Schizosaccharomyces pombe: one gene and its partners. The protein of the gene in region 3 purifies or fractionates together with the protein of the main gene of each other region. This does not show direct contact. Each region holds a gene or a part of one and is shown on either strand. Other genes may lie near its edges.

Evidence for each region. The genes of interacting proteins can lie anywhere in the genome.
Region 1: the proteins of mkt1 (region 3) and mra1 purify together in Schizosaccharomyces pombe (affinity purification with mass spectrometry, with the first as the bait; one study listed by BioGRID). This does not show direct contact.
Region 2: the proteins of mkt1 (region 3) and tea4 purify together in Schizosaccharomyces pombe (affinity purification with mass spectrometry, with the first as the bait; one study listed by BioGRID). This does not show direct contact.

Annotation. Positions count from the first base shown.
Region 1 is NC_003424.3:2,227,796-2,233,279, reverse strand, and holds mra1 (rRNA (pseudouridine) methyltransferase Mra1), read left to right. Parts: upstream 1-1,826; 5' UTR 1,827-1,867; coding exon 1,868-2,947; 3' UTR 2,948-3,317; downstream 3,318-5,484. Other genes in the region: protein Edc1, read left to right, coding at 1-131; U3 snoRNP-associated protein Utp11, read right to left, coding at 3,516-4,265. UniProt on the Schizosaccharomyces pombe protein: S-adenosyl-L-methionine-dependent pseudouridine N(1)-methyltransferase that methylates the pseudouridine corresponding to position 1189 (Psi1189) in S.cerevisiae 18S rRNA.
Region 2 is NC_003423.3:586,702-593,601, reverse strand, and holds tea4 (tip elongation aberrant protein Tea4), read right to left. Parts: upstream 5,244-6,900; 5' UTR 4,874-5,243; coding exon 2,408-4,873; 3' UTR 2,168-2,407; downstream 1-2,167. Other genes in the region: fap1 (L-pipecolate oxidase), read right to left, coding at 5,821-6,900. UniProt on the Schizosaccharomyces pombe protein: Cell polarity factor essential for the bipolar localization and function of structures containing the cell-end marker tea1 during the normal cell cycle.
Region 3 is NC_003424.3:1,014,225-1,023,009, forward strand, and holds mkt1 (post-transcriptional RNA stability regulator Mkt1), read right to left. Parts: upstream 4,830-8,785; 5' UTR 4,652-4,829; coding exon 4,645-4,651; exon of another isoform or gene 4,604-4,644; coding exon 2,506-4,603; intron 2,446-2,505; coding exon 2,142-2,445; 3' UTR 1,879-2,141; downstream 1-1,878. Other genes in the region: dnf1 (P-type ATPase), read right to left, coding at 1-1,104; oac1 (anion transporter), read right to left, coding at 5,388-6,350; protein toe2, read left to right, coding at 7,693-8,583, 8,623-8,785.

The DNA.
Region 1 (5,484 bases), 1.2 Mb from region 3:
GTAACATTACCCCTACTTTGAATTCCCCTAATAACGGCATTCATTGTCATTCTACTTCTGCCCTAGACTTATTGTTTCATCGCGATCGTGAACAGCGCTTGTTCCGTATGCTGCGTCAAGGAAGTGCATAGTTTCATTGGATGCTTATTTATGTCTAAGGACATATCACCTTTTTAAGCCTCGTGTTCTGTTCTAACTATTCCACTTTTTTGTTTCACCTTCTTTCGTCTCCGCGTTTATCTACACGTGTTCGTTGTAGCACTATTTATTTGAACATTGGCCAAGAGAATTTATCATAGTCTAGTATTTTTGCTAGTATTATGACTTTCTTACTATCACCCTATGTACCTCTGTCTTTCTGTTTTTTTGGATTATAGAATTTAGCTCTCTATATGGGTTAATTTTGTTTCCTTCGCTTTTGGTTTTTAGAGGATTTCATACAAAAGCTACTGAATTCCTTTTCTAACGGCTTATAGTTAAAAGAAATGCCAACGTTTTTAATGGATTTCTTGGATTTGAAATCTTGATTTTTATTGACTAGATTTCCTTAACTTCATCTTATTCCTTGTTAGTTAATTGAGCGAGCAATTCATTTATAATATGGAAATGTTCGTCAATGACTATTTATCGAAAATGTGCCTCGTTTACTTTTCGATTTGTATGCTTAGAATGGGCATTTGTTACCTTTTTTATGAGCGTTGGGTGTTATGATCTGCATATTGCATTAATTTTATTCTGGCTAGTTTTTATTATGCTATTAATAATCTCGTTGTGCTTTTATCGAGATTTGTTTGAAACTTGTTTCACCGGTCTCGTACATTTTTTTCTCTTGTGTTTTTTTCTTTTAATTTTCCTAATTATTACTGACGTGTTGCCTATTGCTTTGCGATGACAGTACATCTTATTTTCCTGTGTCGAGGATTATAGTTATAATCTTCTTTTCCTCTCATGAACTTGGCTTTGGTTGCCAACCTTTTAAACTTTCGTCCATGATATACATGATGTTTGCTAATATAAGTGATATTTATGTGGTCACCTTTTTTGGCGAATGTTGTAACCTATCTTCTACGCTCAAGGAGTACATGCAATGTGCTTTATGCTTTTTTTTTTTTGAATGTTTGCAATTTTCAAGCCCTCGGTTTTTGAGCTTTCATTGCTAGTCAAGATAGTCAACTTATCGTTGATTATAATATCTTTCACTCGCAAATCGTTTTTACGTAAAGACTGAATTACGGCAACATTTATTGCTCTTATTTGTAAATAGTTTTGGAATCATTTCTTTTTAAAACTTTAAATTTATCTCTTTCCTTCATTGTTTACAAATAATGTTGCATTAAGTGGTGATTTAGTTTTTCTAATATAAACACATATTTCCGTCACTGATGTGTCGCGTTTGTGTATTTATCCACCTGATATGTGCAACAGTATTAGAAGGCACGGTTTTTCTGTGTGTTGACGATACCTGTTTACACATTCCTTTTAATCCACTTCCTTTACTTCTTTTCCGTTTTTTTTTTATTTTTATTTTTATTTTTTTTTTTTTTGCTGAAGATGGACTTATATTACCTGCATTTTTTTAGTTAATATAGAATTCATTGAAAACAAATTTTCGGCGTGTGTAGATTTTTTATAATTTTTTTGTTGATTTAGATAAGTCATTGTTTTGTTCAGCTCAATGCGCGAGTGATATGTTTGGTTTTACACTTGTTGGTTTAAGCGGATCGTAAGTTCGTAAATATGCGTTATCTTGTTTAAGCAAGGTAGGTTAGATCTGATAGTTATTTGTAGCTACCACCAAAAGCAAATTTCTCAAGCCATTATTTTTTGTCGAAACCCAATATCTGGTAGACTAGCTTTTTCATCATTCATGCCTACTTATTCCAAAAGGAAGTCTAGAGGCTCTTTAGAGGTTTCTGAGAAAACCAATCAACCCAAATTCATAAAGAGAAGTCAATCGAGTGAAACAATAACGTCAGGTGAAACTGCTAGTGAATTGATGCAAGATGAAAAGGAGCAGAGTAATGGTGCAGTAGGTTCTATTGAAGATGAAGAATTACAACGACTTCGTGAGAATCAAGCTTCTGTTGAAGCTCTTTCGAAAAAGCCAGAGTCTATCGATCGAGAGTTGGGTGTTGAGGCTTTAGAAATAGATAATGTAGTAAAGTCAGATGAAGAAAAGGAGGATCCCAATGGTGCTTCTTCCAAAACCGTCAAAGCTCGTCCACTTCCTGCAGGGTCGGTTCATCGTGTTACTACCCATATGGCGCCAATACCAGCGAGGTCAATTGGTTCTCATGATACTACAACACAGCGTTTGATTGTCGTATTGGACCAAGCATGTTTGGAAATTTATAAAGTTGGCAAGGCTAAGGATGCAAAATATCAACTTCTAAATTGCGATGATCATCAAGGTATTTTAAAAAAGTTAAACCGTAACATTGCTCAAGCGCGTCCTGATATTACTCATCAATGCTTATTGACTCTTTTGGATTCTCCACTGAATAAGGCAGGTCGTCTTCAAGTGTACATTCACACAGCTAAGAAAGTTTTGATTGAAGTGAATCCCTCTGTTCGTATTCCTAGAACTTTCAAACGTTTTTCCGGTTTGATGGTGCAGCTTCTTCACAAGCTCTCTATTCGTAGTGTGAATGGCAATGAAAAGCTTCTAAAGGTGATCAAAAATCCAGTTACAGACTACCTTCCTCCGAACTGTCGAAAGGCAACATTATCTTTTGATGCTCCTACTGTTCCTCCTCGCAAGTATCTTGAGACTTTACAGCCCAACCAATCGGTTTGTATTGCAATTGGTGCTATGGCTCATGGTCCGGACGATTTTTCGGATGGTTGGGTTGACGAAAAAATCAGTATTAGTGACTACCCTCTGAGTGCAAGTATTGCTTGCTCTAAATTTCTTCATTCTATGGAAGACTTTCTAGGAATTGTATAATTATTAAGGTAAAAATTTTTGCATTGTCTTCATTGTTATTCAGCTTATATCCTGTGCTATAGATATTCACTTTTTGATATAGCTTGAATTTTTTGGTACGTTTCGTACTTTACATTTTCTTTAGAGAGTATTAGAATAAAATAACAACTATAATTCTAGCTTCTGCAATTACAAAAAGAAAGGAAACAATTTATCACACTACAAGGCATTGAATTAAACCATTCCATACACTTTTAAAGTTTGGGAATTACAACCTAAGACAAACTCTTAATACTCACCGATAAAATAATTCGGTAATATTGAATGACTCACAACACTATGAAGCTCAATATGAGAAATAGATGGATATTTGCTTAGAATTAGACAGATGATTAAACCAAATTATTCATAAATAAGCAATCCATTCGTTAAAAATTCCAAAACCTAAGTACATTCATACTAAATAGAGAAAATGATAAATAACAAAAAAGGTACAACTAAATGAAAGAAACGAAATAACAACCAGTAAATCACAAACACAACAAACTGAAAACAGTTCCTCAATTATGTTAGGAGCAATTTAAGGAAATTATCGTTTTCTCTCATTCCTCCACTTGTATACCGGTTTTCCGTTTACGACCTTCTTTTTCTGACGGCCTCCTTTTCCCTGTAAAAGTCTATCAAGCTCGACACGTTCTTCAGCAGCCGCCAATTTTTTGTCGCGTTTCTGGCGCAAAAGAAGCTCGGTCGCCGCCTTTTCTTTTAATTTTGAGTGCAATTTTCCAGAAAAAGGCTGGTTTGTCAGTTCATTGTTTTCAATTTGATCTTTCTTTACACGATTTTCGGTTCGACCAACCAGATCATCTGTAGTTTGGAAAAATTCAGCTGGGTTAAAACTTTTTGCCTCTTTAACATTGTCTACGAAGATGGTGTGCTTCCTGGATTCATTTTTATTCCGATGAGCTCCCACAGTATGCATTTGTTGTTCCAAATGATCAATTTTAGCACGTTCAACATTGCGATGATGCCGAATCCAGCCAATGTCTTGAGTTTTCAAAATTTTGATTGTGTCCATATCGATGGTTGAATCCTCGCGCTGTTCAAGGGGTACTCCATTTTTGGTCTTTTTGTGTGTCATTTCATGATAAAACTCATCAGGGTTTCTTTCAAGGGCTTTTTCACGAAGACGTTTTAACTTCTTTTGCTTTGTCTTATAATCCTGAGCACGCTGCGCATAATCCTTTCGTTTCTCTAGCAAACCCCATTTTCGTCTTTCAAAAGGCTGAGCTCTTTCTCGATGATTTTTCCTTTGACCTGCATTTTTAAAAGACGAAGACATCTTTAAAAAAGTTATGGTTAATGTTTGGCTGTTTGTCAAAGAACCGAATTATTGGCTTTTAGCAGATTCGCCTCTGCAAAATATTTGTGTTTAGGGCACTACAAGTGTTAGCGTGCAATGTGCTCAGGACGTTAAGATACGCTATTACCCCCTTGGCTAGTGCTTGTATTGTTTACGATTTGAAGTTATACTGTTAATACTCTATAGATATAATCAAATTTTTTAGAAAGAGTCTTTGGCTGAATGGTGGCTTGTTAGCTTTCTAGTAGAATTGGAAAGTTTACTGTTAATGTGCAGCCCATATCTATCAGTTTAGCAATACTTATTATTAAAAAATAATTGTCTTAACTTCTCTATAAAACTTTTTATTCATTGATTTATTCTGCTCAAAAGGAACGGAAGCCTCAAGATAATTTATTAATTACTGAAAAATAAAAAATAAGGAAAGTAAGAGCAACGCATTAGGACTAATCGCTATGCTGTCGTTAACATTAACTGTCATCGATATCTCACTACATTACACATTACTTAAGTTTAATGTCCTTAATCTTATCCATTACGATGCCGTCGTTCCCAATGTATGTGCTTGTGGTTGACATAACTCAATTGAACAAAAAGTGCATCTCTTTGTTCTGTAATTCCACTGAATTGGTAAATAATGTTAAGCATTGTTATACCGATTATCCTTCAGTATGGCTTTATTTTAAAAAAAGATTTTGTTAAATAGTCATCGTAGTTTACTGTATCCTCAAAGCAGTTATAGATGCTGTAGCTGACGGCAAGTTGTCTTTACACACTTCCCACAATGAAAAGGGAATAGATCAAAGAAGAGAAAAAGCTGTTACTGGTGAGTGTAAAACGCTTGGCACAACCGAGAGTTTCATAGCAAGTATATTAGATTTTTGTTATTCGATTCAGAAGATTTAATTCATTAAACATTTGTACTTTGATTTTTTCTTAATTTACCCTTAATGCTTGTACAATATAGAATATTGACTGCAGCCTAGCAAAAACTAGGGAACTAATATTTACATGTAATATGCGTTATTAAATGTGTATTTTTTTTTTTTTTTTTTTTATGGGAAATATAATTAAATTCGAACTGATATTAAATATTATTTTTAAATTTAAAAAAAAAAAAAAAGGATCTATAATATTAAAATTAATCCTAACTTGCTGGTACTTGAACGAACTCTTTATAAAATGACTGTTTAGCAAA
Region 2 (6,900 bases), on a different chromosome or scaffold from region 3:
ATTAAATAAAGAATGATTTTATTATTATGAAGAATAATTACACTTCTTTGAAAAGTCCTCTAGATGAAGAAGATGAATTGAAGACAGATCATGAAATCGATTTGGAAAAAGGACCCCTCCCAGAATATGATTCAGAGGAGGAAAGTACATTGCCTCCATATTCAGGTAAGAATTGTAAATAATAAGAAAGGAATTACTCAATTGAAAGTTGAAACTTGCCAGTGCTGTAAAATAACTTGGATGTGATCATTGTTTACAGTTGGCATATCCAACACTTGATCAGAAAGATGGGTAAATTTAATATGATATCTTTTTAATTGTGTATGCTAATTATCATTAGGTTATGAGGCCAAACAGCAAGTGAATGAATACACAGCTGTTCCATTGCGTGAGATGAACCCCGAAAGTGAAGCCTAATTATATTGTTAACTTTACTAATTGTATGATAAAGTCGCTTTTTACACGAGGCTTCTTTTCTTCATAAGAATGTGCAATAAAGAAGCGCCTTTATGATTGTGATTTACTCAAACAAATCATAAATCTGTTTAAAGTATGTCACATGTATTTTTATTGCATATTTCATTTCCTGACGAATTGGATGAGCAAGTGCATTGCTTGAAAGGTTCCGTGAATAACATACACTGGGCATTGAATATTATAATAATGGTTTTATTTATTCGTTTTAAAATAGCAGTTCACTAATTGACTGTTATCATCAACTAATGAAATCGAAAAACTCGTTGTTTCGCCTTGTTAAATTCACAATTTCATTGTCGTTTATTGCATTCATTTCTTCTTCATCTTGATTCTTAATGAATCAAACTTAATTATCATTTTTTTCCTTTGGTTTAGTGGTTTACTTTAATACAAACAAAATTAATGTTTACAAAATAATGAACAGCATAATAAAATATTGTGATTTAGAACGATGATTTGTTATCGTAATAATGTAGTTATTGTCTAATGTGAGAATCCACTGTAACGATTAACAGATTTCCTCTAATTTTTTAAGCTACTTATTACTTTCTGTTGCAAGTAAAAAATCATGAATTTTAAGGCTCAGTGTATAAGGGTTTGCATATAATTCAGTTCTCGTTTTGTGCTGCATATTTAATTTTTTGAGTAGTCAAAAAAATTAGCACAAGTTGTAAACTTCACATTGTCCACTCGTGGTGGCGTGTTAAAAAATTACTTGATGTTTTAAACTAATACTTCTTATTTCGCATTCATAAAAAACAATGTTGAGAATAATCATGTATGGTGGTTGTACAAATGAAAACGGGTCAATTCAAAATGCATTTCATATCCGTCTCATTCTAAATTTTTCGTTATTTAGTCGCTTCGAATTATTGACTTTGTTTACTGTACGAACTGTTTTCTTTATTTAGCGCATATTGAAGATATTTGCATACTTTTTAGGAACTTTGTTTCTTCCTACAAACTCAATTCGTTACAGAAATAACATTGCTTTGTCTTTCCAATTAATAACAAGTCGTAAATTTGTAAAGGAATAAAAATTTTATTGTTCATTCTTACTTTTCCATGTTCCTTTACATATCTTCGTGCAATTACTAAAAGAATATTAAAAGTCAAATTTGAAAATTTCGCCCTTCAATTATGATGATGGTGAGAAATTGGTAGTCAAGATGCTAATTATCATCTAATTTAGCGTGAAAATTACCAGTGAAAAAACATAAATTATTTATTATGAGACAATCAATATGCCTATCGCTTACAAAATATACATTTAAATACACCGTTGGTTTGATGATGAATCCGATACCTTAAAAGTAGAAGCAGATGATATTCTCATATTAATGATTAATGAACATGTTCATCGTTTGTTAATATCTCATTTTTTTCGTTTAAAAGAGAAGAGAAATATTTTTTAATAAGAATCGCTATAAATCGTGCTAATTTTGTTTTTTAATACCCTATTGAATTTGATTCATCATGCCACATAAGTAAAGTACACTGGCTTATTTTTACGGATGCATAAAATCTATCATACCCTCAAAGCCTACTACTATCTGCTTGAGTAGTTTACATTTTCACTGCTCGCATTACTGTACAAAAAATATGATGCAGCGATACTATAATTTGAAATGGCATATAAGATAATTACTAGCTCATTTAATACTTCGGTAGATTTTACTTAAACACATTTATTTTATAGCGCTCAATAATCCGAATCATACCCGCACATTGAATTTTAGACCTTTATACAACTATGGTATGCTGTTAGTTATTAAAAAATATTATTAACAAGAAAAAAAAGTCAAACATAAAGACATTAACAAACAAATTTTTGAAACAGTTTAATCAAACAGAAAACTGATTTATAACGAGTGTAAATAGTTTGATAAAGGGGAAAAACATGGTATAACTTTTAAATTAATCAAAGATTTCAGCGATTCGTATTTAAGAGGGAGGCCATCTCATCTGATAAACCCTTCAATACGTTAGCAAAAATATCATCCAAGTCCGAGGACACCGATTCACCCTCGATATTACGAGAAACTCGGCGGGATGCCCTTACTCCCGCTGATTTTACACTCCAATATAGCCCGCTAAGAGAGTCTGGATCCAATATAAACTCTCTCAACCGACGATTAAATTCTTTGTTTTTAGTACTAACGTGGTCGTTATCGTACGCATGGATATCAGAAGCATGAGCCGAATCAACGAATGGCACCGAAGAGGAGTTATTATTTAATTCCGCAACCACAGATTGCTTGAATGGATTTTCATCATATTGCAAAGAAGCAGGAGAAGTGATAAGAGAGGAAAAGGAACTAGAAGAGGTAGATTCCTCTGTGTTCTTTCTTGGTAGCAAATCCTCATCGTGTGAAATCGAAGAGCTCGGGATTGCACTTGAAGCATCTAACTCAGGTGTAGGTATAACCATTTCCTCATTACACTCCAATGGAGCCGGGGATTCGTGTAGTAGCTCACGCATTTCGCTTAATTCATCTGCTAAACTTGTAAATCCACCCGCAAAACTTCTTCTGTTTATTTCGTTATTTACATGATGGTTACTCAATGTTGATAAATCTATTGAAGATTGAGAAAATGCTTTACGCTCCGCTGTTATGTATACAGAAGACGTTGTGCACTGTGCATCACTTTGCGAGGAAGAATCAACAGGTAAAGACATCTGACGAAGAAGCGAACTTGGTGATAATTCAACCTTATCTGCTTGCTTTCGGTTTTCGCTGTCTTCTTCGTCATCCTTTTGGAATCCTTTTGTTGGAGAGGATGGAGTAGATGAAGAGTATAATCGAGGGGAAAGAAGCTTTTCAGATGGCATTTCAATCGATACCGAATGTCGAATAGGGTACACTTCTAATTGTTTTAAGGATTGAACTGATAAATTATTGGGCATTTGACCAGAAATTGGTTCCTTTTCTACATCGTTTGGGGCATCCTGAGTAACATTAGATGTGTCAAAAGAGTCACTCTGAGAAACTATAATTGATTTTGGTGCATTCAATGAGATTTCCTTGTTATCACGAGATACATCATGAGTAAAGTTAGAGGATTCCGATACGGCGGAATAAGAAGAAGGCCGCAATGATTTATCAGTATTAGATGTAGACGAATAAGAAGAAAATGAAGCATTCGATTGCATTGCGTCAACTGATAGTGATCTTCGCAATGGAGAATCAACGGTTGCAGATGAAGCAGTTTTATGCTTATTTGCTATCCAAGTACTGTAAAGTGAAGGATCAGACTGGGTGGCATTGCCATATAATTCCTTGTTTCCTGCTATTGAGATATTTATTTTACTAATATTCGAATTTTCAGCATCTGGGTAAGCTGATGAGAATTTAGAGTAGGGGGAATGTGAATTTTTCGAATCTGCAGTAGTGGAAGAGCCATTAATTTCTGTTTCAACAATCTCAAGACCAAGGGGGGATGTACTTTGAAAAGAAGTAGAGTTAAACTGGTTAAACCCACCTTCCAGTTCAGTAAGATCCACGTAAGCAGGACTATCAGTTACATGATCCTCGGATTCGGAACGGTACTCAGCAGAGAGAGAAGAATCACTACTGTCCGAAAATTCTATTTCAAGACCATTCTCTGCGACAGTTCGGTTTACCATTGCCTCATAATCATTTTCAGAATCCATTTCATCATCGGAAGAATTAGAAGAACAAGTAAAGGTAACGCGTTTTATACGAAAATTTGGGGATGGAGCCTCCAAGGTTTTTTCCACAATATCTAAAGGCGGGAGAGTCACAGACTGCTGAGAATTGGACGTTTCCGAATTTTTATATTTATTTAATCGAGCCAAACGCTCTGAAGGAGTTTCAATGTATTCAGCAGGTAAATAGCCTATAGCCAAATTTTTGCACATTTTTACAAGCCACCAATAACTATTAGAATCATCTAATAAAATCATCATGTCTCCTTTAGTAGCATCAACTTGTCCTTCAACAGTAGCTTCGAAGCCTCGAATGGCATGAACAAAGTTGCAATCAATAACCTCTTCGTGAATAGATGGGGAAGAACTCAATTCTGCCTCATATAAAGCGTATTCTTCCTCTTCGTCCATAAAATCATCCTCATCTTCAGAGCGAAACTCATCATCTTCCACTACTTCATTATATTCAGTCCCACAATCCTCAAATTGAGACGATGTTAATGTAGTGTCTTCTTCTTGAGAATCGCTAATTTCTTGCGACGCTACAGTTTGGGGTTCACTATTTTCTCCTGATATAATCCTTTGTATCTCGAATGACTGCTCCAGATATTCTTCCGGAGAGTAACGACTTTCTATTATAGTGCTATCATTCTGTTGTGTCGGGTCAAAATGACTTTCCATAATTTCCATGCTGTCAGCACTACTGGCACTATTCATGTGTAACATATTGAAACAATGTAGTTAGCTCTCATGAACTTGAACAAATGTGCAAAAACAGCAAACACACTTTTCAGGTCTCAAAAACCGCTACTCCTAATGATAAAAACAAACACGTTGCAAAGGGATAAGAAACTCTCAACCTCATACAATTTATAACTGGTAAAAATTCAGGATACTGGCTAAAACGCTAGTGAAAACGGAAATACCGATCCTGATGAACATACACTCAAGTTGGGTTGATTAGAACGTCAATCGTAACAACGAATCCAGCAAAATCTTTTTGAAAATAAAACGATCTTGCTCTTCAAAATGTTAACATTCCAATAACTAGTGTAAAAATATAATATATTAACAAACTAAGTCGCCTCTAAATATTGCGGTAAGATATGCGTACTTGATGCTACGTAAATCCGAGATTGGCAGATAACGTAACAGTAAAACGTCGTTTAACCGATACAACGAATAAAAGCGAGTACGGTATTTGCATTTAAACAAAAAGCTTCTTGATCATTTTATTCTATTTTGATTTTTTTTTTTATGTTATTTCTAATTAGATTGTCAAATTTAATTATTTATAAATGTTTGAATTGCATCTAAGTATCAAAAACAACCTCAGTAAGCTGTGACGCTTTAGTTCTCTTAAAGCCAACGAGTTAGCTATATGATGCATATCTAAAATAATTGAAAAAAAGGTTTTACTTAGCATGCTTTGTAATATTAATTCAGGACATAAAGTTCGATGTAAAGGGTATAGAAAATGTCCCTGTTTTTATTCGAAAACAGTAAACCGACATAATCGTCTGGATGTTATAAAGTTGATGTTAATTGTTAATGTGTATACATTCAATGCTCGTAATATTTCGAATGAAGAAGAATCAATTAGTATTCAACACAAAAATAAGGTAGCCTAGAAAGATAGACGCTAGCCTTTCTTTTGTTTAGCATTGCACATCTTAGCTTAGCTCTTGTCGAGAGGGTCCAGCTCGGCTGTGGTCTAAAGCAGCAAACTCCAAATTTTCTTTCTTCCATCTCCACTTCTTCAATAAGGGCTCCTCTAACTCACGAAACATACACCCTATGCTATACTTCCCGAGGATTGGAAAGAATTTGAATCCATGGCCTGAACCACCTGTGCATACAAACAGATTTTCATAATCTGGATGATAATCAAATACAAACTCGGCATCGGCTGTGTCGGTATAATAACAAATACGGGTTTTGTAAAATGGCCTTTGACTAATTTCTTCGCCATAAGTACGTTGAAGGTTTCTGCGTAAATCTAATTCCGCTTCCTTGGGCAGGATAGGAGAAACGAGAGGTTTCTTTGGTGGAACAGATTCGACTTTTCCGGATTTAAGATTTTGCATTCTCGTAAATCCGTATCCATGGCGTGCAAATTTTAGATAACCATCGGGGGTAGGGGGAAAAATATAAAATCCAGTATCAAAATCTAAGTATACAGGATTTGTCAAAAAGCGGATGTACTCCTCAGGAGTCAATTTTATGTATGCGACTGGTTGACCGGTTGCCAAGAATCGTGTGTGGTCATTAGGTAAAAGAGATGCAGTCCATGCACCTGTAGCAAAAATAAGTTTTTCGGCCATGTAAGCTCCAGTAGTAGTCCTCACGCCTTTAACAACGTTTTCTTCTGTTATAAGCTCTTCAACAGTTCCCTCAGGTCCGCTAATGAAAGAAACACCGGCATGTGCTAAGTAATTAACTACGGATTTCACAGACTGCTCAGCGTTGGCCCATCCAGAACTAAAATTGGCATACCCAGCTTCTCCATCATTCAGCTCGCCAATCCATTTTGGAAAAAGTTTCCGCAATTCTTCTGTAGTTTGAAACTTTGCTGCTGACACACCCATTTTTGTCAGGTTTTCCAGACTCATGTCCCGATACTCAACATTGTCACGGCCAACAAACATAAGTCCTGATCCATAAAATTGCTCTTTAAAAAGTGGATTTGTGCGCCATTCCTCTAAAGCATCAATACCCATTGAACAATACACTGCATCCGCATAGTCTGAACG
Region 3 (8,785 bases):
TGAGGTTCTTTCAGGTTCTCTTTCATCAGTTGATCGAATAGTACTCCTTGAAGCAGATTCTTGAGATCTACTTCTTCTCCACCGCCGACGACGAAAAAAAGATGAGTGCTCTTCAACAATAGGCGGATCTACATCAACGTGACGAAGAACTTGAGTTTGAATTCTATTTTCTACGCGGTCTTGGCGATATCGCCGATAATTATCAAACCCTTCACGAAGGATTGCAATTGAAATAAATATAAGTAGAGGGATGATTGTAGTGTAAGTACCGGTGGTTGACCAACCTGGAATCATTTGCATAATAGCAATCAGCAAAAAATAACAGTTGGCAGTTTTTGAAAATTGAGCAATGATCTGTAAAGGGACAAAATTGTATTTGTTGTACCGAGACGAAACAATGCTGTTTTGCATATAGGGCTTTCCTGTACGCTCATCAATTTGGGAGGAGTCATCGTAAGGGTTTATGATAATTATTCGACCATGACTCGACTTCAAATACCGTGTATCACGCGAAAACAAGTTGGATAAGAAATTGGAAATGAACTGCAAAGGATTTGGTATTGTAAACTCTTTATGCCGCGACTTTAAAAATTCCGGAGGAATTGGAGGACGCCCATTGAACACAGGTGATGCCTCACGAGGAGAAGTAGGCTCAATATCATCTAATGGGATTTCTTCCACAGGTCCCTCTAGGAAGGAAACATGTGCTTTCTTCTTTTTTCCCTTTCCTTTCGAGGTCTGCTCAGTTTTGGTAGATGGAGTTAACACTGAAACCATAGAATTAGCTGTCAGTTCTAATACCGACTTGAAAGATGATTTCAGTCTGCTATCTGATGGCGAATTAACATCGTGTGATTCGTCAACTTCAACAGAATCCAATTTTTTGCTGTCCCCATTTATATCAATTTCATCAAGCTCATTTTCATCAATTCCTAATGGAAGAGCGCTATCCTGAAATCGTACATGAATATCCTCTCTTCGTTCGTTAGTGCCATCATCTGCAGCGTTCCAATTAAATGCACCATCTTCTTCTCGATTAGTCGTTTCATTTAGAAAATTTGTTTCAAATCCATTGGAATCGCCTGCGATACCACTAGACTTCATAAGTGCATCTGAACAAATAATGTTGGTTGTTGCTAGATTCACACCAAATGGAAAATCAAACTATTATTTGATGGTAGCTTGCTGAACCACACGGGACATTGTGCTACGCCTTACAAAATGAGACTACACTAATAGCAGTTCATTAAAGTTAAGCTTAATGAACTCCACAGTAATGGCTTACGCTTGCTTAAGACTTTCTAAATAGTGTGTCAAGTCTCGCAATATGCAATGTAAACAATAAGTTACAGAGATTTTGATTAACTGTCAGTTACTTCAACTACTACCGTTTATATTTAAAAACTGACATTGTCAGAATTTTGTTAACTATCGACAAATATTATTAGATGTTAGTGTGAGAATTGGAGATTCTCAAAGCTAGCAAGTTGTCGTAAACAGCATCTATACAGTAAATATCTTAAAACAAAATTATACTATCCAGCTTGTAAGTGGTTAAACTAAGCAAGTCTTTCTGTAAGCACAAGGTTTTTAATTCGTGAAATTGATTAGGTAAAATTATGTTTCTGATGCGAATTCGGTTTTTTGTGAGTGAGCCAGTACACATAAACTAAAATCTAAAAAATCCGCTTGAACTTATCAAATAAGTTAAAAATTATTCCCATACTATAGTGTAAAAACAACGGTATAAGTTATTTTTTGACAGGTAAGTGTATTGCTAAAAATAAATATAGTATCCTTTAGAACAAATTAAACTATATCTATAAAAAAGTTTAAACATCATTGGGTTTTCATTCAAAGCTGTGCTTCTCTATTTTTCTTTCCCTTCCTTTTTTCGGGAAGAAACAATGTAGTTGAATATTAATATTAACAATACTTTACTTGTTCGAAATAATATCTCAACAATAATCAAGTGTAATCACATGAGTGTATAGCATGTTGAAAATGCTTCGACAGTATGAGGGAAAGTAATTCATGTAAATGTGCATTATGACTGTGCCGAATGTGTTAAAAGCTCCCGCTAAAAGAAGGATACTTCTCTCACTAATTTATTTCTATTCATAAACTACTAGTTCTGGTCTTCATAAGCCAAGAGAAAATATCCATTGGTTAGTAAGGAAGAGTTTACTTAAAACGAGCTTGCCAATGGCACTTGTATTTTCTGCTTCCTTAACCCCTTCCATAAAAGTTTTCCAGAATTCCAAAAACTGGGCAATATGGTTTTCCGCAGATCCAATGGTTGGGAATTCCTTTTCTATTATTTCATAAGCCTTCTGGATGTTTTCCTGTTGAGAACTGGCTTCTTGCTCTTTTGAAATGATTTCAAAAAAGCGCTTGACAACAAAACCTGAGACAAGGCTACCATTTATGTTTTGAAAAGGTAAGCTAAATTGGTTAGAAACTTTAAATATAAACAAAAAAGGAGAAAGAGAAAAAAACACGTACGTTTTTCGGATAAGTTTAGGATCTATTTTGCTTTTGTCGACGTTTCTGTTCAAGATGACCGAGGCAAGAATCATGGCCATGAGTTCCTTCAAGTTGGATCCGAAGCTAGTTTGTAGCTGATAAAACTGTAATAAATTCTCATCAACTATAGAAATTTTACTAACTTCAGGTCTCTGTTTTATTGGTAGAAATGTTGCAACCTTTGCCAAGAACTCTGTGGCAGAAGTTATGGATAAATCGGCGATGCTTGCACTTGAGGAGGAAAGTAAAGAGGGCTCTTTTAATTGTCTTAGTCTAAGAAGCTCGAATAAAACAACAACGGAAGTTTGGTTCTGTAAGTGACAATTTTCCAACGCTTTTAACAAGGGGCATCCCCAAGATGTTAATTGATGAGATGTTAAAACGAAAGATCTAATTTGCAAAAATCTGTAGCAAGAACTTAAGACGATTTCCGCAGTAGAAGACAGAGGATGCTTGGGAGGGTTTTTTATGCCAATATTACCTTCAGTGCAAAAGCTTTTCTTTACAAATACCGGATCGTTCAAAGCACGTAGTAGATCAAATAATACAACGGGTTCTTCCTTTAAAAAATTACTAGATAAATAACTCGGTAAGTTTTCTTCGTATATCATCCATGCTCTCGTATCATTATACAAAGGAGGATCATAGCTGTGCATTACCTTCAAAGAAGCTTGCTGATTATGGCCATGAAGGGAAACAATATCTCTGGCTTGGTAAAATCTGTTAAGCGGTTGGGTCAATAAATTTAGCCCCTGCGACCATATTTCTTCTAAATCGTCAACAAATCGCCGTTGATCCACAGCCGCTACAGCTGCTGCATTGTCGCGACCAGGATTTAAACCAGAATTAGCACCAGAAAATGTTCCTTGTGATGCTTTGTCACCAATATGTTGTTCAAGTATGGAAACAGGATCACTAAAACATCCAGATACTAAAGCACCTATCATTTTGCAAGGAATAAGACCGCGAGAAATGTAAAAATAAATCTCGTTGGGAAGACGGGTGCCAAAATATATATTTATGTCGTTAGGAACAGATTCTGTGGGAACTGGTGGTAAAGTGAGACCTTTTGTATCCATCACAATTCCAAACTTAGAGAAACAAACAGCCCTTTTGTACTGTTGAAGATAATCTTGAAAAATGGGCTGGGGAAAGATTTCAGCAAAATGAAGGACTGCACGATACGCAGAACCAAACATACGAACAAGCTCCATTGCGCTTTTAATTAGAAAAGTACCCTCAATCTGAGGAAATGTAGGAGAAATAGCAGTACCACACAATAAACAGGAATCGATGAACTGCTGCCATGAAAGGCCGTTCGTGTCTTGAAGAAGGGCATTTCCATCTAACCATGTGAATGAACTTTTAGCGGCCGAATTGATAGTTGTTTGAGTTGATGGGGATGAAGGGTCAGATGAGATTTTAACGTTAGAAGATGTGTTCATAGAAGTAATAAATTTTTTAACACCAAAAAGAAGCAGATCCGTGGAACCATAGATGGCATCGATGTAAGGTGAAGATGTGCCGTTTAGAAAATATGCTAATTGAGCCATAGCCAGATACGGGGCGACAAAATACTCCACATTACATTGATCTAAGTAAAACTTTACCTGGTCGCAAAGACGATCTAAATGATCTCGCTGATTGGTGTACAAAAGTGTTGGTTTACTTTCGCCGTAATTCGCAGGACCACTTGCGTCCATGCGGTACATATTACGCTGAATATTTGCATCATAAGGATCAAAAGCTTCGAAATCTGTCAATGCACTATGACTTTTTTGCTTTCCCGGCACTTCCAGCTGGCTGCTGGCTTCAAAGGTAAGAGGTATACCATTGAAAACAAAAATGGGTGTGATATTCTCAGTTCTCAACTGCTCAAGGAATTCCGAAATTCTGTGTTGTAGATATTCGGATTCACCATTTACTGCCAAACTTTGAAGTTCCTGTGGGGTAAAGGAATGAATAATTTGAGTCAAGTAAAAACTTGCGTCAATACCCAACTTACAGTTTTGAAAACTGCTCAAGCTAGATTTATGTTGATGCTTTTTGTCTATGATAAACAAATTCAATGAACGAACTAAAAAATTAGCAGATGAGTAGCAAGGTATTTTAACTTACTTGTCATTTTTTTTCTTTTTTTTAACTGAATTTACCAAACAGCAGTTTAAACCGTAAGGCGGTTTTTTTTTACTAAACCTTTAATAGATCCTTAAAAACAAACAGATTATTTTTATATGTAACGGATATATTCAGATTTTATTATGTTGTACTGAATAGAGGTGTCCGATCCGTTTATTAGAGTCAGCAGGAACGAGCAAATTAGTGAACACGAATACTACGATAAGAAGTTCAGAAAATATTTTATTAAACTAACATGATTTATCTAAAAAACATATAACTGTTGGCGAAATGTAAAGATTTCAAATAAAAACGACGCAAAATGAAGAAATTTATCCATTGTGACTACACAAAGCGGTAATGTTTCCAATCTTTAATTATAGAGAAAATAAGTATATTAATAACTAAATAAAAGGTAAGTTGATATACAAACGCAGCCAGATGCCTGAAATCCAAAAACAAATACGTACATATATTGAGATAACTGACGGATATATATTACAAAAGACAAAAACATGCCGATTGATCAAAAACAGCTTGAAAAGAAAAATCGACTTTTAAATGAAAGTAGAGTGGAAATAAGTAACGAGACAACGAATGTAAATAAAAATCGTTCTTAGATACAAACATCATTTCTTTACAATTTAACTGTTCACTTGATATACACCAAAGCCACTGGGGGTTTTTATGGTTTAGTACCAAAATTATTTATAAATAAAGAAACGTGCGTTTGAAAAAACAACTTAATCCTTTTGGAATTTCAAAAAGAGTTTATTGGTTTGCTCCACGAAGGTAAGACAGAAAATTGTGTGAGGAGCGATTCTGGCCAAGTGAGCACCAAAACCCTTATATAAGGCAAAGAATCCTTCAGAGCGGATTGTTTTAAGGATGCAATCAATCGGATTTTTATAAAGCTCCTTGTTCTTTTGGTTGTACATACGAGTCATAACAGTATCGAAAATTTGCATGGTGCAGCATACACCAAATCCAGAAACAGCACTAGCAGTTAAGTGTTTGATCATACCCTCTTCCAATAGATTGTAATGCTCAATCATGCGTTTAGCCCAATTATAGATAGGAAGCTGAACAGAGGAACCAGAGACAGTACGGAGAATGGCAGCATCAGCACCAACAAACAAACCCTTAACACCATTTTCCTTAATAATACGACTGAATGCATTAAATATATGCTTGTAACCATACTGCTGGCCAACGGGAAATTTAGGAGAATACGACTGCATGCGAGTCTTAACCAAGAAAAAGGGAGAGCCAAACAAGGCACCACATAAACCTGAACCGGCGCCACTTGCAACGTTAATAGCTAATTTATTACCCTTGGGATCATCAAGGAACCACGTATTCAGAGTACGTCGAATCGGTTCGTAAAACCCGAGACGACAGCCATTGAGGCAGATTTGATAAACATAAGCAGTACCAAGGCCTCGTTGAAGACCTCTTATACCTTCATGTCTAGCGATTAGAGAAAATGCCTGACCGACGCTTTTGTAAATTCGCTTAGAAGGATCCAATTTTGTCAATTGACCTTGAAGTTGAAAACGCGTTTTAATAACTTCGAAAGGATTTGTCAGTGTTACAGCACCACAAGCTGCAAGACCACCTGACAAAAATCCACTAACGGGACCAAGTTTTTTCACCTGAGTAGGATTGTGTGCAGGAAGGGCTTTGATAGTTTGTTTCTCAGACATGACTTAATATTGGGATTTTTTCTTCGAATTTAAACAAAAAAATCTGCCTCAAATGGCAATTCAATTTGCGTAGCAAGTGTTGGCCGAAGGAAAAAGAATTCTTGCAGTTGAGATTTTTTCAGTGATAATAGCCTTGATTAAATTGTGCGCGGAAAATTTACCATTGCGGCAATTTGGGAAGGCAAAACGTAACTTTCGTACGGACTCAAAAAATAAGCAAAATGATACTAATAAAAAAATTATAGATTGAATTGCAATTTTTTTATTTACAAGGCACCCTAATTGCTCTATACTTTTTCCATTTTAATGCTAAATTAAACAGGTCACATGTTACTTATGTTTACTATTTGAAAATACAGATACTAGAACGCACTTAACCTCTTTAAATTAAGGATTTACCTACAATCATATATATTTTTTTTTTCTTTCTCTGTCCTACAAATATTTGGTAGAATTTTAAAATTTTTTGAATAAAAGTCATTTGAAAGTTTGAGTAATGTTTGTCAACAATAAATGCGATCGTTCGAAGGAAGGAAGGTACACACAGTTAACATTTAACTGACTTTACACTTTAAAATAGGATTCGTTGGAAACGCATGGTAGATAATGTTAAAGTAAGACAAATGCAAAATCATAGTAGCAGTAGCTTTAGATGTCATTCACTTCTGCAATGTTGTACTATTATAAAGAAAATGCCATAAAGTGATTCAAATAAGTGCATGCTCTCAACCGTCTACCCTTAACCAAAGTTCTTACTCAGACAATTAAGATGCCTTTTAGTAAGATTTTATACATACGGGGTATAAATTGTGATCAATGAAAAAAATGCAAGTACTAAATTTGATGGATAGTTTGTCGCAAGGCAGGCAATTGAATTTTGAAATAGAAATCAGTCATATTTAAGAATGGTAATTTGTTAGTAAATGCATTAAATCCCTGTGTAAATTATATGTTTCTATTTGAGTGCTTTACGTATCTAACGCATGTTATCCGAAAGCTGTCTGCTGTTGAGATTGCTTACTATTGAAATTAGTGGATATTTATAAAAGTTGTCCAGTGTGCCTTGTGTTTGGTGTTACGAATTTACTTTTCGCCAACATCCAAACACAAGTGTCTTTGGTTCAAAATCAGTATAGCAATAAGATTTAAAGATATAATTCTTGCCTATTTAAAGCCAAGACTACTTTTTTATATATTACGGAATTAACTTCTTTTCGCTCCTGTCAATTGGTCGCAAGTATCATTTTTTTGACGTCTATTGATTCAAGAATTAGAAGAATCTAGCATTCAATTGTACTTTATCTTTCACAATATTATATAACTTGATGTTTAAGAAGAGCATATGAGTGAAACAACCAAGTCTGGTTCTAAAAAATCAGGGCAGACATCACGTAGGGCGATCCATTCGTGTTTGGCTTGTCGAAGAAAAAAACTTAAATGTGATCATGGAAGACCTTGTTCCAATTGCTTAAAGCGATCAACAATCCAGTCATGTATTTATATAGATCCTGGGAAAACTAATTATGACAAGCGCTTTGAACGGGGTAGCGAAGCTGACGAATTGATAGATCAGTTACTATCCCGAGTTAGCATGCTGGAAAAACGTTTAAATGAGGTCGGCACTAAATCGCAATCTGATTATGAAAACCAACAATCTCATAATCTTCCTTCCACGCCTTCGGCAGATGCTGAGACACAGCGAAACATTGGTTCTCTTTCAGTATTAGATGATACAAAATCACAATATGCTAACTACTCGTCCTCTTCACACGTACTCTGGCATTTAAGGAATTATCATTATCTTAACTTAGATCAAGATATTCAAGAAGAAAACGATTCTCTGATTAGTCCGTTTTTTTTTCGAATATCCCCCAATGAATCTGCATACGACTATTTACCCCCCAAAAAAGTATCGGATATTTTAATTGAGCAGTTCTTTTTTCGGTGTCATATGCTCATTAATGTTTTACACAGACCAACTTTTTATGTACGATATAATGATTTTTGGGAAAAACCGCACTTGCGAAAACCAGCTTTTACTAGTTTATTATACGCAATCTATGCTAGTGCATTACTAGCTACACCTGTTGAAGTGCAAAAGACATGGGCGCTTGGTGAAGACGAGAGATATCTTCAGGTAGATTATCATCAAGCTTTTCGCTACGCACTGGCTTCGTCTAATTTTCTGTTTGAACCAGATCTTAATGCTTTGCAAGCTCTTGTTCTTTGTCAGGTTTGTGATATTGAAATGGGTTTAACTAACTCAATTTAGGTTGTCTTTGATTCTGACCGCATTCGCGCTCCACCTTCCTTAGTCGGCTTGATTCTTCACGTAGCGCTATGCATGGGCCTTCACAGAGATGGCTCGCTTTATGGACTTAATCCGGTAATTTCCGAGATTAGACGTCGTGTGTGGGCGAATATAGTCTTGTCGG